Macaca mulatta: one gene and its partner. The protein of the gene in region 2 interacts with the protein of the main gene of each other region in a pairwise test. Links are inferred from orthologs where the notes say so. Each region holds a gene or a part of one and is shown on either strand. Other genes may lie near its edges.

Region 1 (5,199 bases), on a different chromosome or scaffold from region 2:
TTTGAGACACTGGCTTTGAGCTAAATTACTTGGAGCTACAGACAAAAACAATGTCATCCTTGCCCCTTCGATATCCAATTTAAGAAAAGATAGAAGCTGGGCAGGTGGCTCACACCTGTAATCTCAGCACTTTGGGAGGCAGAGGCAGGCGGATCACCTGAGGTCAGGAGTTCGAGACCAGCCTGGCCAACATGGTGAAATCCGTCTCTACTGAAAATACAAAAATCAGCCAGATGTGGTGGCCGGCGCCTGTAATCCCAGCTACTTGGGAGGGTGAGGCAGGAGAATCGCGTGAACCCAGGAGGCAGAGGTTGCAGTGAGCTGAGATCATACCATTGCACTCCAGCCTGGGCAACATGAGCAAAGCTCCATCTCAAAAAAAAAAAAAAGGAAAAAAAAATAGAGGCAGCCAAGAAAATGAGTCAAGGGATCACACCTCCCAACTTCTTAATGCCCCCTGTGGATACAGATCTGTCACACCAAAGGTGTACCAAGGCCAAGGTATCTATACAAGAGTCCTTGTGCCTGAAGCAGCTTTGGCTAGCTCCAGCTGTGGTCTTACTGGTTCGTAGAGTAACTGCATGCACATGCATACCAGAGGCTGTGCTAAGCCTAAGGGATGTCATGGTGAGCAAAATTCAATCCCAGCTGAGAATTCAAAACCCTCAGAGGCGAACTATCACAATATAGTTTAGTTAGCAGTTGGTCCTTGTTGAAAGGATACAGGGAGATAACCCACGGACAAACTGGGCCCATTTGGTGCAGTTTCCAAACTCTTTAGGGTGAGCTGGGCCAGGAACTCTGTGAGGACCTTGTAAGGCCAGGATCCATGTGCTTAGGGTCCATTTTTGGAAAAACCTGGTCACTGAAGCATCTCTACTTTCAGGGTCAGCCTGGTCCTTCAAATAGGCTGAGGCCTATTTCCCCATGTTTCAAGGACATTTAACTATGTTTTTGTAAAAATAAAATGGCGAGACCCAAATAAAAACCTTACTTTTTGTTTAATTTGTTTTGCCAAACAAACACAGTGAAAACTTTAGTCTGACTAATTGTACAGAAAATAGAATTTGTAACCAGTAGCAAACAAAACAGGATAAACCTAAATCCCTGGCAAGCTGGATCTCCATCAGCAGGTCATCCAGATCCCCTTGTAAATGGTCTCCTGGGAAAATAAATCCTAGGAGGCAGAGGCACAGATTTACCAGTCCCCATCAGAATCACAGGCTGCACCTGGGAAGGAAAAGCATGAAAAGGAGAGCTGATGTTACTTGCATCTCTTATCACTACACACATTAGAGTTGTCTGACTGCTGACCAACCTTAAGGTATGGTTTATTCCAAACTCATAGTCCCTGGACATATCACCTGCATCCCTAGAGGGTAAGTTTCAAGTTCAGTGGTTCTGAAGCCTCTGCTTAACCAGAATCTGCAACAATAACTGGGGAAGAAGGGTAGACAAAGTCATAATTGCTGGTGTCACCAGGGCAGAGTCTAAGGCCCCAGCTTCCACTTCAGGAGGAAACAGTTGAGGATGCCAGGTCACCAGCAAGAGAGTCCAGCTGCCTTAAGCCTCAGTACTGTCAACCAGTGCCCCAGGAGTATAGAGGAGTTCAACAATGGCCTGCAGTCCCCTGGCTGGATGGGGTCTGGGAGTCCAGCAGGCCGCCGGGGCACCAGTTCACATTCCGTGCTTCTTGCGGATGACAGCCATGGCAAGCAGCCGATCCTTCTCGCGCAGTTCTTCGCGAAGCTTGGCCTCGGTGAGACGCAGATGGCGAATGCTGCCTTTCATCTCTTTCATCTTCACTTCCATCAGCGCCAGGATGTCCCGCTGCTCATTCAGCTTGCGCAGGAGCTCCTCCTCCGTGGTGCCTGACGACAAGGAGTACGAATGGTCGGAGCCAGTATCAGGGAAACCCTCTTCTCCTACCACCACCAACTGGGGGCCCATAGGGCACTCGGCAGCCTCCAGCCCTGCGGTAGCAGCCTGTAACTCCGACGCGGCGGCCGCAGCGGCTGCGCCCTCTGTGGCTGCAAACTCAACTTGCACTGTAAGATCGATGGGCTTCACGTCTTCTCCAGTGGGAGTGATGGGCGTCGGCGGCACGGATCCCGGAGCCTGACTGCTGTCTACAGCGGCCTGAAGGGTAAGAAGCACGGCCGCGGAAGCAGACACCAGGTTCGGCTGCAGCTGGGAAGTCTGGGCAGTGGAGGCAGAGGGTGACGGCTGCTGCTGTTGCTGCTGCTGCTGCTGCTGTTGTTGTTGTTGTTGTTGCTGCTGCTGCTGCTGCTGCTGCTGCCTGCGGCGGGCGGCCGCGGCCCCAGCGGGTCTGCGCGCTACTTTGCGCTCATTGACGCCGCGCAGCGGGAAGATGGTGGGGACGCGTACCGTGTAGGTCTTGCGGCCGCCCTGGAAGTGAACGCTGCAGAGACGGTGGCCTGTGGTGGGCTGGAAGGTGGAGAAGCACCCACTGACGCCGGCACGCGACACGTTCTTGAGCCAGAGGCGCCGCAACTCAGCGTCCTTTGGAAACGTGTAGAAGTGCAGCGCCTTGTCTCGGTGCGAGTTGTTGTAGCAGCCTGGCACGCAGCACGTAAAGCCAGGCATGGCTGCACCGCGCGGCCCGGCCCGGCCCACCGGCCTCCTGCGCCCTTCGACGGCCCAGTGGCTCCGCCGCCGCCCGCCCCTCGACGGGCGGCGCCGCGCGAGGCCTTGGGTGGTATCCCACCACTGCCGCTCGGCGCAGCCGGCCCGCCCGGCGCCCCGTGCCCAGAATACGCTTCCTGCCGGCCCGCGCCGCGCCGCCCGCCTGGCTGCCCGCCTGCGCTCGGGAGTCGGCCCCGGGGACGCCGCGAAGGACCGCCTGAGAAAGAGACTACGCCCCCCACAATGCCCCGCGCCAGGAGCCGCTCACTTCCGGGGCGGGTGTGTGCGGATTCCGGCCGCCTTCCAAGGCACGGCGCCAGCTTCCGAAGATCGGATTCTTTCTCCAGCCCGGCTTGTCCCCGGCGGGCGAGAGAGGCGTATTAGGTTGGAACGCTGTCGCCTGGACTGCTCCTTACGAGGACCCGAATCCTGATAGGGGCGTGGAGAGGGGCGGTGCGCGCCTCACCGGTGCGCAAGCGTGGTGGGTATATGCCCACGGAGACTACAAATCCCGTGATGCCTCGCCCTGAACTGGGCGCCTGCGACCCGAAGCGCCGCCTAAGGGAAAGATCGAGTTACTGCGGACCAGTATTCGGGGGAGGTTGTGCTGTTTGCCAGAACCAGTCCCCCATCCCTGAGCGCCTTTGAGTCGACGGCATTGCTGCAGCAGAGGGAGACGAAACCTGGGCCTCGGCGCCCCGAAGGGTCTCAGGAGCCCCTTTGTCTGCGTTGGGGACTCTCTCCTGATTCAGCTGCTGCCTGCGTTGACTCCCTGACCTAAACAAAGTCTCCAGTAGACGCCTACTATGTGGCTGACCCAGTGCACGGAGTTTCCGGGAGTCAGACCGACTGGGCTCCTCTCTTGGAGCCTGACTGCCTAGACGGATGAGCCTCTGTCTTTTGGATAATAGATCTGAATGCACGCGAATGGATGTCTACTCACAGAAAGTAATCGCTCTAAAGGAATGAACAGGAGAGCAGAGAAATGGAAGCGGGGGAGGGGGTGGCCAGGAATAAAGAACGAAAGCTTGGGTAGGGAGAAGTACCCAGTTCGTGTCCCGGGAACCAGTCTGTAAGGCCACATGGCAGAAAAGAGCTAGGCTCCCCCCTTAAAGAACCTGGAAGGGGGTGGCCCAGGTAGACCAAGCGTAGGAAAATACCAAACTGGGACATGTTAAGGATTTGGGGTTTTATTCTGCAGGCCACACTGAGAGCTATTAAAGGATTTAATGCGAAAGGATTTGCATTGTAACAATACACCTCCCCCCATCTCAACTTATTTGAGGGAAATTTTTGTGTGTGTGTGTAAAGGAGTCTCACTCTGTCGCCAGGTTGGAGTGCAGTGGTGAGATCTCGGCTCACAGCAACGTCCGCCTCCTGGGTTCAAGCAATTCTCCTGCCTCAGCCTCACGAGTAGCTGGGACGACAGGTGCACGCCGCCATGCCCGGCTAATTTTTTTTTTTTTTTTTTTTTCAGTAGAGAAGTGGTTTCACCATGTTTCCCAGGCTGGTCTCGAACTCCTGCGCTCAGGCAATCCGCCCGCCTCGGCCTCCCAAGGTGCTAGGATTACAGGCGTGAGCTAGTATCACAGCGCCTGGCCGGGGGAAAATGTTTTAAAGAACACAAAATGTTGTGGAAAGCCAGGGAGGGGCCAGGCAGTCCTTCAGGGGAATTACCTGCAAACTAGCCCTCCTCTGCCGAGTTCTTCCTTCTCCCAATTTTTTAAAAACTTATTTTTGGTTCGGGGGTACGTGTGAAGATGTATTGCATAGGAGAAGTCGTGTCACTGCGATTTGTTGTACAGATTATTTCATCACCCAGGTATTAAGCCCAGTACCCAATAGTTATCTTTTCTGCTCCTCTCTCTCCTCCCACCCCCCTCCCTCAAGTAGACCCCAGTGTCTGTTGTTCCCTTCTTTGTGTTCATGAGTTCTCATCATTTAACTCACACTTGTGAGAATATGTGGTATTTGGTTTTCTGTTCCTTCATTAGTTTGCTAAGGATAACGGCCCCCAGCTCCATCCATATTCCCACAAAAGACATGATCTTGGTCTCCTCCCAATTTTTCTTGTCTTTCTTTACCCTTTCACCTAACTCTCACTCCTCATTTTTTCTCTCCTGGTAGCAGGTCACAGGCATGAAATGGAAACCTAATATACATTATTTCTAATTATAGTATTTGACATAAAAACAAAATAGGGCCGGATGCGGTGGCTCACGCCTGTAATCCCAGCATTTTGGGAGGCCGTGGCGGGCGGATCACGAGGTCAGGAATTCGAGACCAGCCTGGCTGATATAGTGAAACTCCGTCTCTACTAAAAATACAAAAAAATTAGCCGGGCGTTGTCTCGGGCACCTGTAATCCCAACTACTCGAGAGGCTGAGGCAGGAGAATTGCTTGAACCTAGGAGGTCGAGGTTGCAGTGAGCCGAGATCACACCACTGCACTCCAGCCCAGGTGACAGTGCGAGACTCTGTCTCAAAAAAAAAAAAAAAAAAAGCTGTGCTTGGTGTCTCAGGACTGTAATCCCAGCACTTTGGGAGGCCATAG
Region 2 (5,343 bases):
GAAGTCCGGCCAGGTGCCAAGTCTCTGCACTTTCTGCAGCAGCTGCTTAGTGGCCAGAGCCCACATTCCTGAGTTGGGCATTCAAGGCCCCTGTCCCCAGATGGGCCCTGTTTGCCAGCCCTTCTGTGGCTCCCTCAGGGTAAAACACCCAGCGGAGTCTCCCAGCCCCTGCCTCCTAGCTAGCCCTGCCTCCCTGCCTCTTCCTTTCCTCTCTCACACCTGCCTTTACCTACCTCAGGCCCTTTGAACATGCTGCTGTCTCTGCCTGGAATGTGCTGGGTCCTCCCATCTTCCTTCCCTCCTCTCCTCCTGGATGAGTCCCACTCATCCTTCAAGTCTCAGTATGGATGTCACCACCGGGAGCCCACCCAATGCCCCAGACTGGATCAGGCCTCTATGCTGAGCCCCTAGCCCTCCTCAGCCCTCCACGACCCTCTCCAGGATTGACTGCTGTGCTTATCTGAGTGCTGTTCTGTTTCCCCATGAAAGCTGAATGGTCCTGTGTTCGCTGCTGGCTCCCTGGCACCCTCACAGTTTTGCAATAAGCATTTGTTGAATGACTGAGTGAGTGAATGAATGAAGCCTCTGACTTTCCAGCCTCTCCGCCATTGCTCAACTATCCCTGCAACCTAGAATGCCTCAACCACAACAGCCCATCAAGGACCAGCTCAAAATGCCTCCTCCAAGAAGTCTTCCCTGATCTCCACTAGAAACCATCACTCCCTCCCCTCCACGGCCACTCCAGAGCTGCCTTGCTCAGCAACACAGTGTCCCTGAGGACTCAAGGTCTGGGCCTGTGCCCACTGCGGGACCCAGTTCTGAGCCAGCCCATGACTCAGATACACTCAGCTGCCAGCTTGAGACCAAGAGGGAAGCAGCCAGTGGAGGAGCTGGAGGAGCCTATCTGGGTTATGGGTGCACTTGTGCCTGTGTTCTGGGAAAGGGCACCCATTCCCAGCCACCCTCACAGAGGACAGAGTCCTGGGAAATTGGCTGCATCTTAAAGTCCAACCCCCTCGTGGTATATAGCTAGGGAAACCAAGGCCTCCGAAGGAACCTGCCCAGGATCCTCCAGGTTGGTAACAGAGTTGAAACTCAGGATTGGACTTGGAGGTCAGGGGCACTTGGGTTTGAATTCCAGCTCTGCTTTACCCCAGCAAGTTGTTGCACCTTTCTGGAAAAAAGGGAAAACTGGGTGGTCGTGAGGATTCAAACATATCAAGAGTTCAGACAGTGGCCAGCGTGGTGGCTCACGCCTGTAATCCCAGCATTTTGGGAAGCCAAGGCGGGTGGATTACCTGAGGTCAGGAGTTCGAGACCAGCCTGGCCAACATGGTGAAACACTGTCTCTACTAAAAATATATAAAAATCCTGTAATCCCAGCACTTTGGGAGGCCAAAACGGGCAGATCACGAGGTCAAGAGATCGAGACCATCCTGGCTAACACGGTGAAACCCCGTCTCTACTAAAAAATACAAAAAGCTAGCCAGGCAAGGTGGCGGGTGCCTGTAGTCCCAGCTACTCGGGAGGCTGAGGCAGGAGAGTGGCGTAAACCCAGGAGGCAGAGCTTGCAGTGAGCTGAGATCCGGCCACTGCATTCCAGCCTGGGCGACAGAGCGAGACTCCGTCTCAAAAAAAAAAAAAAAAAAAAAATAGCCAGGCGTGGTGGTCACTTATAGTCCCAGCTACTTGGGAGGCTGAGACATGAAAATCGCTTGAACCCAGAAGGCAGAGGTTGCAGTGAGCCAGGATCATGCACTGTACTCCAGCCTGGGCAACAGAACAAGACTCCAACTCAAAAAAAAAGAGTTCAGACAGGATCTGGCCACAGCAAGTACTTAGTGGATGATCATTATTATCAATATTTTGAATTCTGTGTCCTGGGATACAGGCTGGGAGGAGGAATTGGGGAGGCAGGTGCCCCACACCCCTCCAGGCCAGGCTTTATCTGTGTCAAGGGTACTTCCCAGTTCCAAGCCTTTGCTTCTGCCTGGGACACCACTGTCCTAAGTCCTGTCTGCCAGCATCCACTCAATGTGACCTCCTGGGAAGCTCTTCCTGATGCTCCCAACAGCATTGCCCAATGCAAACCTACCTAAAACTATTGTGGTGATGGATGCACAGCCCTGGGAATACACAAAAGCCCACTGAACTGTACAGTTTAAATGGGTAAGTTGTATAGCTCAATAAAGCTGTTACCCCAAACAAAACAAAGAGCATGCGCCATACTTACACCACATTTACTAAATCCTCAGTGTATGTTAACATGCCAATCTTTACCAAAGAGAATAATGACAATAACCATTTACTGAACTCTTGCATGCTAGAACCTGCTAAGCATTTCCCATTTATTTTTTGTATTTAATGCTGACACATCCCGGTGCAGGAGACACTAATCATTATTCCTATTTTATAGAGGGGGAAACTGAGGCTGAAGAATGTGAGAAGGGAGCTGATGGTTCTCTCTCCACACCCCACCCCTGCACTTGTAAGCACGCAAAAGGCTGCTCTGTAAGCTGCTGACATTTGGCAAGGCTGCGAGGCTACACCAGCAAAGCCAAGTGGCTGGGGATGCTGACTCGGCAGAGCGACGCCCCCGCGCCCCCCCAACCCCACGCCCCAGCCCGGCCTCTCCGCTAAGCCAAGCCGGCCAAGCTCAACCCTGCCTCAGGTGCCTCGGCCTCCCCCCAGGACTGAAGGAAGTGGTGGAGCAAGGCCCACAAGGGCGAGTGTCCCCGAAGGTGCCTCAATTTCCCCATCTGTAAAAGGGGACTGGTGACCCGCAGCTCTCACGGAGCTGGCGACCGGCTCGCGGGTGCTCGCCCTGCATCCGAGACAGCACCTACAACTCCGGACCCACTCGGGGCGGAATGGGGTGGGTTCTTTGTTCCCTTCCAAGACCCCATCCCGATTCCCCTTCCCGGGAGGGCAGCCCTGAAAAAGCAAGGTTGCTCCAGCAGCCCCCTCGGGTCACCTGCTTCCCCGAAGCCATCCTCCTCGCCTTCCGCTCCCGCCTCCACCGGCATCCCCAGGTCCCCGTTGGGGCCCGACATTGCGGGCTCGGGCGCCCGAAGGGCCGCGCGACGATGGAACGCGGCGACCGTCGCGCCGAAAGCCGGCGCCGGATGGAAGGTGGAGGCGGTGGATAGAACACCGGGCCGGAAGGGTGGAACGCGGCAGCAGATCTCCGCCCAGAGGCCGGGGCCCCACCCCTGAAGCCGGAATCCCGCAGATCTCGCTCCGCCCCGCCCCGCCCCCCAGCCGGAACTCCGCCCCCGCCCCGCGTCCAGACTCCGCCCCCACCGCCGGAGTCTCACCTCCACCTGCCTCACAGTCGAACTCCGCCCATTCCGCCGCTGGCTTCACCCGTCTCCTGGGCGCTGGGCGGGGCCACCACGGTGCTGTCCCTGGAAAAGCCCAGGAGTAGGGAGGTCCAGGAGGAGGGGCGGGAGACCTCCCAAGCCCATCTGCTGCTTCGACCCCTCCGCCTGGGCGAAATCGAAAACGGGTTTCCTTGTTATTTTTTGAGATAGGGTCTGGCTCTGTCTTCCAGGCTGGAATGCAGTGGGGTGATCTCGGCTCACTGCAACCTCTGTCTCCCAGCCTGAAGCGATCCTGCCACCTCAGCCTCCAGAGTGGCTGGACTACAGGCGGGTGCACCACGCTGGCTATTGTATTTTTTGGAGACGGGGGTTTCGCCATGTTGCCCAGGCTGCTCTCGAACTCCTGAGCTCGAGCCATCCACCCGCCTCGGCCTCCCAAAATGCTGGGGTTACCGGCATGAGCTACTGGGCCCAGCCTTGGAAACGGGGTTTCCATACCTCCTGTGGCTTCAGGACATTCCTCTTCACAGCCTCGCTGAGAGTCACGAAGGGTCTCCTTCCTCCTCGCCTCTCTGCCTGCACCCCAATGGAGAACACCCAACACCCCTACCCCTGGATCTGGGCCTTCCTGGTCTCCAGCGCTTCTTTTTTTTTTTTTTTTTTTTTTTTTGAGACGGAGTCTCGCTCTGTCGCCCAGGCTGGAGTACAGTGGCCGGATCTCAGCTCACTGCAAGCTCCGCCTCCCAGGTTCACGCCATTCTCCTGCCTCAGCCTCCCGAGTAGCTGGGACTACAGGCGCCCGCCACCTCGCCCGGCTAATTTTTTTGTATTTTTTAGTAGAGACGGGGTTTCACTGTGCTAGCCAGGATGGTCTCGATCTCCTGACCTCGTGATCCGCCCGTCTCGGCCTCCCAAAGTGCTGGGATTACAGGCGTGAGCCACCGCGCCCAGCCAGCCAGCGCTTCTCTTAGGGCTCATTGCTTACAACCTGTGGGTGGGAATCAGGCTGGACTCCAGCTCTGGACAAGAGAAACAGGAACATTAGGCGGGATGGCTCCCACCTGTAATCCCAGCGCTTTGGGAGGCTGAGATGAGAGGATTGCTTGAGCCTAGGAGTTGGAGACCAGCCTGGGAAACATAGTGAGACTCAGTCCCCCATCTCTACAGAAAGTACAAAAAAAATTAGCCAGACCTGGTGGCATGCACCTTAGTCGCAGCTGCTTGGGAGGCTAAGGCAGGAGGATCACTTGGGCCCAGGAGTTCGAGGCTGCAGTGAGCTATGACTGCACCACTGCACTATAGCCTGGGTGACAGAGTGAGACTCTGTCTTTAAAAATAATAATTAATTAATTTTTAAAAAGTTTAATTAGCCAGGTTTGGTGGCACACCCCTATAGTTGCAGCTACTCAGGAGGCTGAGGCAGGAGAATCACTTGAACTGGGAGGCAGAAGTTGCAGTGACCAGAGATCGTGCCCTTGCACTCCAGCCTGGGTGACAGGGTGATACTTCATCTCAAAAAATAAAAATAAAAAAAATTAAATGTGAGGCCGGGTGCAGTGGCTCATGCCTGTAATCTCAGCACTTTGGGAGGCTGAGGCAGGCGGATCACGAGGTCAGGAGTTTGAGACCAGCCTGACCAACATGGCGAAACCCCATTTCTACTAAAAATACAAAAATAAACCAGGTGTGGTGGCGTGCGCCTGTAATCCCAGCTACTCAGGAGGCTGAGGCAGGAGAATCACTTGAACCCGGGAGGCAGAGGTTGCAGTGAGCTGAGATTGCACCACTGCACTCCAGCCTGGACAACAAAGAGAAACTCCGTTTCCAAAAAAAAAAAAAAAAAGAAAGTTTGGCCTGGAGCAGACCTACTTTTGTTTGTTTGTTGTTTGTTTGTTTTGAGACAGAGTCTCGCTCTGTTGCCCAGGCTGGAGTGCAGTGGCATGATCTCAGCTCACTGCAACTTCTCCTCCCCGGGTTCAAGCAATTCTTGTGCCTCAGCCTCCCGAGTAGCTGGGATTAC

The links.
Region 1: the proteins of BBLN (region 2) and THAP11 interact in a two-hybrid assay, tested with the Homo sapiens proteins (2 studies listed by BioGRID and IntAct). The link is inferred for Macaca mulatta from reciprocal best matches to the Homo sapiens genes BBLN and THAP11.

The regions. Positions count from the first base shown.
Region 1 is NC_133425.1:63,412,897-63,418,095, reverse strand, and holds THAP11 (THAP domain-containing protein 11), read right to left. Parts: upstream 3,631-5,199; 5' UTR 2,608-3,630; coding exon 1,678-2,607; 3' UTR 1,319-1,677; intron 1,231-1,318; 3' UTR 983-1,230; downstream 1-982. UniProt on the Homo sapiens protein: Transcription factor, which has both transcriptional activation and repression activities. Also modulates chromatin accessibility.
Region 2 is NC_133420.1:19,530,936-19,536,278, forward strand, and holds the start of BBLN (bublin coiled-coil protein), read right to left. Parts: upstream 3,148-5,343; 5' UTR 3,054-3,147; coding exon 2,975-3,053; intron 2,215-2,974; exon of another isoform or gene 248-2,214; coding exon of another isoform or gene 239-247; intron 1-238. Other genes in the region: CIZ1 (cip1-interacting zinc finger protein), read left to right, coding at 239-247. UniProt on the Homo sapiens protein: Essential for intermediate filament organization in intestinal cells, interacts with intermediate filament and regulates intestinal lumen morphology.